3 linked regions of the Coturnix japonica genome follow. The protein of the gene in region 2 interacts with the protein of the main gene of each other region in a pairwise test. Links are inferred from orthologs where the notes say so. Each region holds a gene or a part of one and is shown on either strand. Other genes may lie near its edges.

Region 1 (3,445 bases), on a different chromosome or scaffold from region 2:
CTCCAGGCGTGAGGTCTGTGCTAGGACATGAAAGATTGAACTGTGCTTGTTTGCTCCTCGTACTGAGCATGTCTGCTTGGTGACAAGAACCTTGATGTAGGTATTGCATAGAACTGCCTCTCACAGCTGCAAAGACATCACAAAGTGTCCGTCCCAGAGTTAAAACTGTCATGAGAAAATGTCTGAATTGTCTGCATCTGGCTTCTTTTAGTAACAGAGCTTCATTAGAGGAATGTCTGTCTCACATACAGCAGCTTATGCAATTTATAAAGGAAGGGCCTGTGCACTTCAGGGATACTATGAAGAAAAAATATTAATATATGGTCATTGAGTATTTTGTATTGAATAGTGTCTTTGTATTGTAAACAAGTGTAGTGAACCAAAAGGCATGAAGACCAATAAAATGGCTGTAACTGGCTCCCTGCGTGCTGGGTTCTGTAGCGATGGCACCACCCTCAGTGCAGTGCTGATGGCTCCTGTGACAGAGCTAGGACCATCCAGGTGGTATTCCACAGCTGCTGCTTCACACCATATCTGCCTGTGTAATTTGTACATAGGAATAGAGAAAAGAGGATATATGTGCTATAACAATCCCGGGAAGCTTCTCTCCACCATACCATTCACCAGGCTTTCATTTTACTAATACACCAACAAACAGATATTGGACAAAGTCATGTTCAGTACAGCACTGAGTTTTGTATATCTTCAAATATAGAGAACTAATTCCTTTTTTACAATCAAAATTTACAACTTATATTCAATTTAAAACGCTCCATAAGCTAGAATACAATATGCAGTATTTTAAATACAGCCAAGGAAAAATAGCTACAGTAGTATTTAAAATAACATTAATAGCAGCAGAATTCTGTCTAAAAATAGGATCCTAACTTCATTTAAAGTGTCTCTTCTTTCAAGTAGGTAAAAGCAAGCAGATCATTTAAAAATAAAACCATCATCTGAAACACAGAACCACCCTGATAACAGTGAGATAATGCTGAGCAATTAGAACACATTACATGTTTAAAACATGGACAAGTACGAGCTGTTTTTAAAAAGGCTGATATGCAAGTGATGTCACATCAACTTCTGCTACAGTCCTGTACCTAAAATTATCCTTAATTTATCCTACGAGTCTTACAAGAAATCTACACTGGAAACTGTACCAAAGAAAGCAAAAGGAAACAGAAATAACTGAAGTGTTAATAGCTTGCTTTAAAACCCAGCCCATAACCCATACTGCTGGCAGGAATGGCCATGCTGTGTCTGTACAGACTACTGGACAGTTTATGTGCATTTAAAAACTATGATACCCATAGCCTGCAGCACAACAAACAAAGCAATACCTTTATAAACGAGGGAGAGTTCTCCAGGAGAGTGTAAAGTGCATTATTTTAAAGAGTGCTTCTTCTATATACAGTACATTTACTGCCTGACAGACACTACGGTTGTGCTTTTTAAAGGCTTTTTGCTTATTAGCTGTTCGCTAGGATCGCTGCAAATTCCTGCACTTATTTATCAGCCCTTTTGGATTCAGGAGGAGATAATGGCAGGGGAAAAAGAAGAAGAGGGATCCAATGACAAAATGCAATAAAATGCAGAAATACCTCAAAACTGCTTGGGAAAAAAAAAGGTCTTTTTATTTTTTGCTTTTTTATTGCTAGCAGCTGGTACTGAAATTGACATACTGTCTGGTGAACAGACTAATGTCACTCATTAACCACCCCCTCTGTTCAAAAGCAGGCAATGCACAAAGCATTATCAGTTCATTACTACAGAGGAAAATCGTTTAAATACCACATGAATCACAAAGCAACTCTAGAGAATGTTGGGTATACTCCAGCTGGAGCATAACACAGCATCTCAGAGCCAAGCTCTTGGAATTACCTTCCCAGGTAAGAGCTGTTTCATTAAGAGAAACAGTGCAGTGGTTTGACATCTTAAGGTCACCAAAGTTTTGTTTGTTTATATATATCTCTCTATATATACTTAGTGTATCTGTGTATGTGTGTGTATATATATATATATATATATATATGTATGTATGTATGTATATACAAATATATATAATCAGATATATCTATCTATACGTAAAATATAAATGCAGGTTTAATAATTTAAAAATAAGTTGGCATTCTGTATGGGGATCCTGTATGCTCTAAATGTTTCCTATCATCCGAGCATCTTTTGGCTCAGCAGATATCATCTACAAGTTTTGCCCCATTGATCCCCCTGTAGGTTACTCTGCTAGGTCGAACCAGGACCCCATGGTTCTGCTTGCAGGTGAAGTAACGCTTCTCCCCCACAGAGCCATCATTCTTTCCCTTGGCACTTCGTAGCTCAAGGCCAAGCCACATCCCTGGTGCAAAGTCCGTCGGACCAATGTACCTGATGGTGCCCATTTCATTGGAGCTGGTCAGAAGAACCTGTGAGCCTTCGTGCAGCTTCACCAGTCCCTCCATGGTAGCTGTGCTGGGATGGCTCCAGCTGTGCCGTGACGCAGAACTCTTGGACCTAGTTTTAAAAGGGGGGTGGAAAAAAAAAGCATCGGTGTCTTTCCATGAAACATCCAAGAAGTATTTTTAACTTAGTGCAGTGCATGACAAAACTGGGTTTGATCTCATATTGCTAGCAAAACATGTAACAACTTCAGTGTGCTACAACAGAGGGCAGTTTGAAATACTTGGAGAATCCATCTGCTCTCTCACTCGATGCCAGGATTTGAGATGTCTATGGTAGGTGGTACAGTAGGCAGGACGAAGTGCAGTCCTTTACCAAGGCCTGCTGCATTCAAACAGCTGAATGAAAATACAAGAATTTGCAAAATACACAGTGATGAGCAATTGGAAAACCATTTTCATGCCATCTTGAACCCAAGGACTGTATCTTAGGATGCCCACAGAAAAAACAGTAGGCTACTGCTTAATTCTGGAGGAAAAAGAGTGAGTATATATAATAACCTCTAGCACTTCATAAACATAAAGATCTTCTTTGCAGCAAGAAGTAGTGAGGCTATCAGCTGCCTCACCCAGACATCTTAAAATCCAAATACTCACCTAACAAAGGAGTTTCTTCTGCTTATCTCTCTTTGTGAAGATGCAGAAGTTGTGCTTAAACTGCGTCTAAAACCTAAAGGAGAAGGTTAATGAGCTATGTGGGATTTACAAAGATTTTTGGCTTTGAGCCCATTATCTCTGTGTTTTCTTCTATACTGCTCCCACTATCTTTGCTACACATTCTCCCTTCCTGTTTGGAAACTGATGAAACTTTTCATGAACTTAAGTGTTCATAACATGTTTTACATGTCCTGAGACAAAAGAAATTAAATAAAACAAACTGAAGAGGAGTAAATGGAAGCAGGCTTTTCACAAAACAACCTTTCTTACTGTCATGTATTTTTACTCCTTCCTGTGATGTATCATTACTCCTTCCACTGACACCCTCATTA
Region 2 (3,750 bases):
ACCCAGTGCAGAATCTGGTACTCGCATGTATTCTAAGGTGCTCCAATTCTGTCCAGAAAGAAAAAAAAAAAGAAAATGTGATTTATGTCATCACCAGCAGTTACATATACATGCAGTTTATTTCTGATTTATCTCCCAGACCTGGAAAACAGAAACCCAGTTGGCTTTTCCACATGTGAGAAGGGTAGATTTATCATCGCTGATCTCAGAGTGGGCAAATCCTAAAACTAACCTGCAGCTTCTAGTGCAATGAATTATTCGCTTGCAAAATTTATAAGGAGAACTGAAAGAAGTGTAATGGCAGCAATAAGGAAGCCCAATATATATTGATGACTGAATCATCTCCTCATGGTGCCCATCTCCTGCTGCCAAGCCTGTGAGTTTACATAATTTACTCTGAAATCCAGAGAGATTAAACCAAGCGTTCAAATGTTGCGCATCAAAAGAGGAACCAGATGGTGCAACGCTTTAGGACATTAATATATCACCTCTGGAGACCTGCATTCAGATAAGACATCAGACATGAGCAAAATAAATGTTCATGGTTTAAAACTGCTTTTCTAGAAAGCCAAAATAAATTTTCAAGGTTTCATGTGTTTGCCAGGAGGTAATCCTAGAAGGAATGATTTGTCGGTTTCCACTCCTTCTGTGATTGACTGTTTATAGTGGAAACATGCGCCGATGTCTTTAAGCCAGTGTACTTCATTAACCTCTGCCATGCTGCATCATGCAAATAAATACAGCTTGATGCAGCAGCATTCTATCAAGTATTAGCAGAAACAGAGCTACCAGACAACTCCAAATGCTTGATAATACAGACTGCACGTGTTCTCTCTTAGGTCCTGAACTTAGCTTAATTGCATATAATTTCTCTGTATTCTATACTCTTGTAGCACTGACTTCATTCCTGTGTTTTGGTTCAGTTTTGTTGTACCGCCGTGGTTGCCATTCAACTTCAGCCCAGGTTTCTTCATCCTCACATCCCGCGCAGCGGGGAGCAGATCCCAGCAGCTCCCTCGCTAAAGCAGCCATCCATTCAAAAGGAACAGAACAGGGTTCACATCATTAAGTTATTATTCAGCGGACCGAGTTTCAATACCTCTGCTATCGCATTGCTTAGCCGTTAAAAAAGAAACGGGGAGAAAACATTTCTTCTAGGGGGAGAGGAGGAGAAGGAAGTGGTTGGTCTTTAAAATGAAGAGCCGGGCACAGAGGGATGCGAGCAGAAAGCTTTCTTCCCAATAATGGCTGCATGCACGCAGCACTTTGGCTTCCCTGCTGCGATCGCCTGCTTTGCCCTCAGGAGCATTTCAGACAGAAAGGTTCAGTGTATTTCAGTTCAGCGTTTGCTCGAGTGGAAGGAGACAGCTGGAACGGAGAGAGGTTCTTTATATTCATACATAGAGAGAGGGGGGGGAGGAATTAAAAGGAGATCTGTATTTATCGGCTGTGAGGTCTTTTTAGCCCCACGTTGCAGGGATGGGCAATGTGGGATCTCCAATGGTGGGGTCCCAGGCTGGGTGCTGACCCCAAAGTGGGGACACAGCTTTCCTTTCCCTTTCTCTTTCCCTTTCTTTCCCTTTCCCTTCCTTTCCTTTTCCTTTCCTTTTCTTTCTTTTCCTTTTCCTTTCCTTTCTTTTACTTTTCCTTTACTTTCCCTTTCCCTCCCTTTCCTTTCCTTTCCTTTCCTTTCCTTTCCTTTCCTTTCCTTTCCTTTCCTTTCCCTTTTTCCTTCCCTTCCCTTCCTTTCCCTTCCTTTCCCTTTCCCTTCCTTTTCCCTCTCCTCTCCTCTCCTCTCCTCTCCTGCTGAGCAGCACCTCAGCTCTGATGGATGGACAACAACGAGGTTTACAGATAAAAGCTGCGGTCAGAAGGCGTATTTCCATTTAGATGGGCTTCCCTTTGCTTTTAACTCAGGTTCGGTCTGAAGGTCGCTTTGTGTGATGCTCTTTTAATAGGCACAACCGCATGCAAGCGCTCATCTCTGCCATGCCGTTATCCCCGCAGCGCTCTCCCTCCCTCGGTTATACCCCACATCGGGCCGTTGTTCCCACACATAAAACAGTGAACCAGAGGCCGAACCGAGGCCTGGCCCTGCTCACGGCCCCGCAGCGCTTTGGGAGCGCCGCCTCCCTCCCGCTCCATCCCGGTCCCGCTGGGTCGGCCCCGTTGCTGTGTGTAACCGCCCGCCCACCCGCCCCGCCTGCAGGGGGCGCCACTCACGGCGGGGCCCCGGCTCCGCTCCTTCCCTTTACCTGCTCGCCGCTCCCCGGGCCGCGCAGCCGCTGCCCGTCATACCCAGCGCCGCCGATGACGTGGTGCTGCGCGGCGCACGGAGCGCTGGGAGGTGGAGTCCTGAAGGGCCGCCTGCGCACACACAGCGGGTTAATGGGGGGGAGGGGCCATAAAGGCCTGTAGGGCCACCATGAGGGGCTGCAGGATGCCATAAGGGCCTATAGGGCCACCATGAGGGGCTGCAGGATGCCATAAGGGCCTATAGGGCCACCATGAGGGGTTACAGGATGCCTTAAAGGCCTATAGGGTCATCATGATGGGCAACAGGATGCCTTAAAGGCCTATAGGGCCACCATGAGTGGTTACAGGATGCCTTAAAGGCCTATAGGGCCACCATGAGGGGCTGCAGGATGCCATAAAGGCCTATAGGGCCACCATGAGGGGCTACAGGATGCCATAAAGGCCTATAGGGCCACCATGAGGGGCTACAGGATGGCCCCCATTAAAGGCCTATAGGGCCACCAAATGATGGGCTACAGGATGCCATAAAGGTCCTGTAAGGGCCCACCATGAGGGGGCTACAGGATGCGCATAAGGGCTGCTATAGGGCCAACCATGGAGCGGTGCAGACTGCCATAAAGGCCTTATAGGGCCACGCATGAGGGGCACAGGATGCCATAAGGCCTATAGGACCACGGCATGGAGGGGCTAGCAGGATGCGCATAAGGGCCTATAGGGCCACCATGAGGGGCGGCTGCGGATGCATAAGGGCCTACTAGGCACCATGAGGGTCTACGAGGTAATGCCATATAAGTTCCTATATGGGCCACATGATGGGGGCTACAGGATGCCATACGACGGTCCTATAGGGCGCACCATGAGGGGCTACAGATGCCATACAGGGCCTATCAGGTGCCACCCATGAGGCGGCCTGCAGGATGCCATAAAGGTCTATGGGGAGCACCATAGGGGGCTCAGGATGCCATAAAGGCCTATAGTGGGGGGGGGGGGGGCCACCAGAGGGGTCTACAGGATGGCCATAAAGGCCTATAGGGCGCACCATAGAGGGGCTACAGGATGCCCATAAAAGGCCATAGGCGCCACCATGAGGGGCTACAGGATGCCATAAAGGCCTATAGGGCCACCATGATGGGCTACAGGATGCCATAAGGTCCTATAGGGCCACCATGAGGGGCTGCAGGATGCCATAAGTTCCTATCGGGCCACCATGAGGGGCTACAGGATGCCATAAGGTCCTATAGGGCCACCATGAGGGGCTACAGGACGCCATAAAGGCCTATAGGGCCACCGTGATGGGCTACAGGATGCCATAAGGTCCTATAGGGCCACCATGATGGGCTACAGGCTGCCATAAAGGCCTATAGGGCCACCGTGATGGGCTACAGGATGCCATAAGGTCCTATAGGGCCGCCATGAGGGGCTATGGGATGCCATAAAGGCCTATAGGGTCATCATGATGGGCTACAGGATGCCATAAAGGCCTATAGGGCCACC
Region 3 (3,750 bases), on a different chromosome or scaffold from region 2:
GATGCGGGTGACCCTCTGCTCCCTGGGGCTCCCAGAACGGCAGCAGGAGGTGCAGAACAGCCTCCAGCAGCAGCAGCAAAACGCTGCCTTGATCCCGCCTGGAGCAGTTCTAAAATAGGAGGTTTGGGCTGTCCTGAGGTGCCCATACCTGTTATCCCCTCCCAAACCTGGTGCAGAGGGGAAGGGGGCTGCAACAGTGGGGTTGCACTGAGCACCCACCTTGCCCCAGAACTGCAGCAGTTCCAACGGGAGCTCCTGGCATCTGCACCCCCAGCTCCAGGTCAGCTTTGCCGAGCAGTTGTGCCACCCAGCTTCTGCCCTGCTCGTTTCCCGTGCTGCTCTCGGCTGCCTCTGAAATGCAGCGTTAGGCTTCAGCTGTAGTCTGACCAGCAGCAAGACTGGCATTGCTGTTTTTAAAGCAGCATCAGTGAATAGCTGGTAGAAATGGTGCTGTAGCTGTGCGCTGTGGGGTTGATACAGCAGGATGAGGGTTTGAATGGCAGTCATGAGCCTCTAAATCTTCTAATAATTTCTGTGAGATGTCCATGCGATGTCTCAGGACAATATCTGGGGATATGTAGTGCAAGACAAAGCAGAATTTATTAATTCATTTCCTCCCAGGTTTCTTTGTTTGTTTTTTACTGTACTGGCTAGACAGAGGCAAAGCAAAATGCTGCCGCTGAAGCACAGCCCTCTAGGTCCATCTGCTGTCAGGTCCCATCTGGCAGCGCCTGTTTTCGATTCCATTTCTGCATAGTCCCAACCTTCAGGAGCAAAGCGGGGACACCCGTGTGTGCTGTGTCTTTCCTGCTGCAGACGGGCGGGCATTGCGTGCTGCTGGCTGCTTCCTTCGGCTGCGCTCACTGTGGGTCTGCACAGAACACACAGCACGGATTGCTGCCAGTGCTTCACGGCAACGAGAGAATGGCAGCAAAGGAAAGGAAATGTTGCACCACTCTGGTACTTTCCTTAGCTGAAGACGTTTGGGAAGCAAATACATAAACAACACCAGATTATTACCAAGTGACTGGGTAATTTAAGAGCATTAGGAGTTAAATGCTGCCTGCGTTCCGACCATAATGAACGTGGTTTGGCCATTATTAATTGCACTGGAGTTTTATAGGACGTTAAATGTTTGAAAGCATGCCCGTGTTTCAGGCTTCCCTGGAGGATCCAGGGCTCTGCTGTCCCGGACACGAGCCGGCTGCCGCCCTCGGGGGGCACGAACAGCTCGAGCCCCCCCAGCCCAACAGAGAACGCCGCTAACCTCGATTGTGCCCGCCCGCGCGGCGAAGTTCGGGCGACTTCCGGCGTGCACCACAGAGCTCTCCTCTTTCTCGCCTCGTCTTTAGCGCGCCCGCCCGCCCCGCGAGGCCTCACTTCCCGCGTTGCGCTGACGCGGCGTTGGGGGGCGGGTCCGGCGGCAGCGGCGCAAGATGGCGGCCACCACGGGTGCGGGTGAGCGGGCGGCGGGGCCGGGCTGGGCCGGGGGCGCTGGGAGGGGCCGCCCCTCTCCGCGGGGCAGCGGGCGGCGGGGCCGGGCCGGGAGGCGGCGACAGAGCGGCCAGGGCTGCGGAGAAGGGAACGGAGCGAGGGGGCGGCGGCGGGGACTGGGCCGAGGGGCGCGGCGCGGTGCCCGGCCGGGGGGCGGGTGGGCTGGGTGGGCCGAGGGCCGAGGGCCGAGGGATGCGGCTGGGCGGGACTCGGGCACGGGAGCCGCGGAACGACCCGGGCGGAGGCACCGCCGAGCACAGGCCGCTCCCGGCCGCCCCCAGCCCGCAGTGAGTCCCGGCCCCGCCGCAGTGCTACGGGCTGCGGGCGGAACGCGGCGCTGGGCGGCGGCTGCCGGGGAGCACAGGCCCGAGGAGCCGCTTCCGAAGGGCTCAGGAAGTTGAACGGCGATTTCCTGCCTCGTTCTGCACCTGCTATGAATGGTTGAACGGCCCCCTATGGCTATCGTTCACGTTACACTACATAGCAGTAACCAGACCTCAGTGTATCTTTTCCTGCTGATCCCTTCTGGCTGACCTGTGCAGACCAAATAATGTGGTTTCATTCCTGTTTGCCAGTCTCACCTACCTGCTCTTGTAACCAGTGTCCAGTGTGCCCTGACAGCGCCGTGCTCAGATCGCATCCTCTGGTGATAAATGTGGGAACATCCAAGGGCTGCACTGGAGGTACAGCAGAAATATCTAGAGGTACCTTCCTTACAGATAGGTTCCTGCTGGTGGCTTTCCGGCCTTCAAGAATAAATGTCACAGTGCAGTTAATTAATTAATGCAGTTAATAAGTAGTTATCAAGTTCATAAGAAGGTTCTCTGCTTGGAAGCAGGTGGCTGTGAGCTGTGGAGCACCTGGGTAAAGCCTATGGACAGAGCACATTTCCACTACCACATTATCTCACTTCTCTGCTCCTGTAATCCTGTCGGTCTGCTCACTTTATTTTGTATGTGTCTGGAAGAGCAAGGCCAGTGACTGCTGCTTTTAAGCCAGTGCAGCTTCATGAGTTATTGTCTGTGTGGTCCAGGAGAGGGGCAGGAAGATGGAGATCCAAACTGCAGTGACTGAGTCTGGGGCCAGTCCTGCACAGCTCCTTTGTGCTGTTGGGATGAGCTGTGTGTCAGTAGCCATTGTCCATCAGCCACGCTGTGCCTTTGGATGGCTGCATTACCTCATATTCTCCTGAACCGTCCCTGGCCTTCAGTGTTGGAAGCAGTGCAGAGTCAGGGAGATGGCAGGCAGGTGCTCAGCTCCTTGCCTCTAAAACATGAGCATCAGACAAGCACTGCACTTAGCTGCTCTTGAGGTCCTGTTTGTTTTAGTGCTGCTGGCAAGAGGAAATAGTGCAAAACAGTATGTGTCAAAAAAAGCCATGCTGCTGAAACAGAACTTCTGCAGTAAGCCCCATGGTTGGGACTGAGGAACTTTTGCATACAGACCAGTGGTTTGCGCTGATGGGAGCGTTGTCCAGCCGTGAATCCCAGACTGCTGTACCTACCACCAACCTGTTCTGTCTGGGTGCACCAGTAAAGTATGGCTGGAGATTGTCCTTTTTGAAACAGAGAGCAATATAGTGTTCCTGACAGCACCAGTAGAATCTGGGGTTTCCTGTATAAAGAAACCTACAGCAATTCTTTTAAGATCTCCTGGCGAGTTGTCTTAGTTTCAGCTGGAACAGAATTGTTCCCTTCAGAATGTTGGGTATGATGCCATGTTTTGGTTCGAGGAGAAGAAAAACATTGATAGCACAGTGATGTTGATAATTGCTGCTAAGCAGTGCTGTGCAGAGCCAAGGCTCCAAGGAGCTGGGAGGGAACAGAATCAGGACAGCTGACTTACACCTGCCAAAGGGATATTCCATACCATACAACATCAAGCAGAAGGAGTTTAGAAGGGGCTGGGAGTTCATCACGCTCTCTTCTGCTGCTTGTCTTTTTCTCAGTAAATAGTTTTATCTTAACCCACAAGTTCTACTACATTTTCTCCTAATTTTCTCCCCCATCCTACTGGGGTGGAGGGAGGTGCTTAGCTGTCTGCTAAACTCCAACACTAGTGAAGAGCATTTTCAGTGCCCTTTGCTAAGCTGTTCTCTATGAAATATTTGTGCTTTAATCCTCAAGATTTCATTGTAGAAAGGAAAGAGATTCACTGACATTTTTTGTGGGGCCTTTATTTCTTCCTGCTCGTGCTGAGGAGGAGCATTCAGGAGCATCCACTCTCAGGAGTATTGCCCACTTCATTTCACTGCTC

What was found.
Region 1: the proteins of TRIM32 (region 2) and CLIP4 interact in binary tests that used the Homo sapiens proteins (3 or more experiments, as listed by UniProt). The two-hybrid records come from large-scale screens. The link is inferred for Coturnix japonica from reciprocal best matches to the Homo sapiens genes TRIM32 and CLIP4.
Region 3: the proteins of TRIM32 (region 2) and ubiquitin-conjugating enzyme E2 variant 1 interact in binary tests that used the Homo sapiens proteins (3 or more experiments, as listed by UniProt). The link is inferred for Coturnix japonica from reciprocal best matches to the Homo sapiens genes TRIM32 and UBE2V1.

The regions. Positions count from the first base shown.
Region 1 is NC_029518.1:10,041,587-10,045,031, forward strand, and holds the end of CLIP4 (CAP-Gly domain-containing linker protein 4), read right to left. Parts: intron 3,127-3,445; coding exon 3,054-3,126; intron 2,512-3,053; coding exon 2,190-2,511; 3' UTR 615-2,189; downstream 1-614.
Region 2 is NC_029532.1:2,234,349-2,238,098, reverse strand, and holds the start of TRIM32 (E3 ubiquitin-protein ligase TRIM32), read right to left. Parts: upstream 2,356-3,750; 5' UTR 2,256-2,355; intron 1,020-2,255; exon of another isoform or gene 901-1,019; intron 49-900; 5' UTR 1-48. UniProt on the Homo sapiens protein: E3 ubiquitin ligase that plays a role in various biological processes including neural stem cell differentiation, innate immunity, inflammatory resonse and autophagy.
Region 3 is NC_029535.1:12,296,530-12,300,279, forward strand, and holds the start of ubiquitin-conjugating enzyme E2 variant 1, read left to right. Parts: upstream 1-1,326; 5' UTR 1,327-1,436; coding exon 1,437-1,458; intron 1,459-3,750. UniProt on the Homo sapiens protein: Has no ubiquitin ligase activity on its own. The UBE2V1-UBE2N heterodimer catalyzes the synthesis of non-canonical poly-ubiquitin chains that are linked through Lys-63.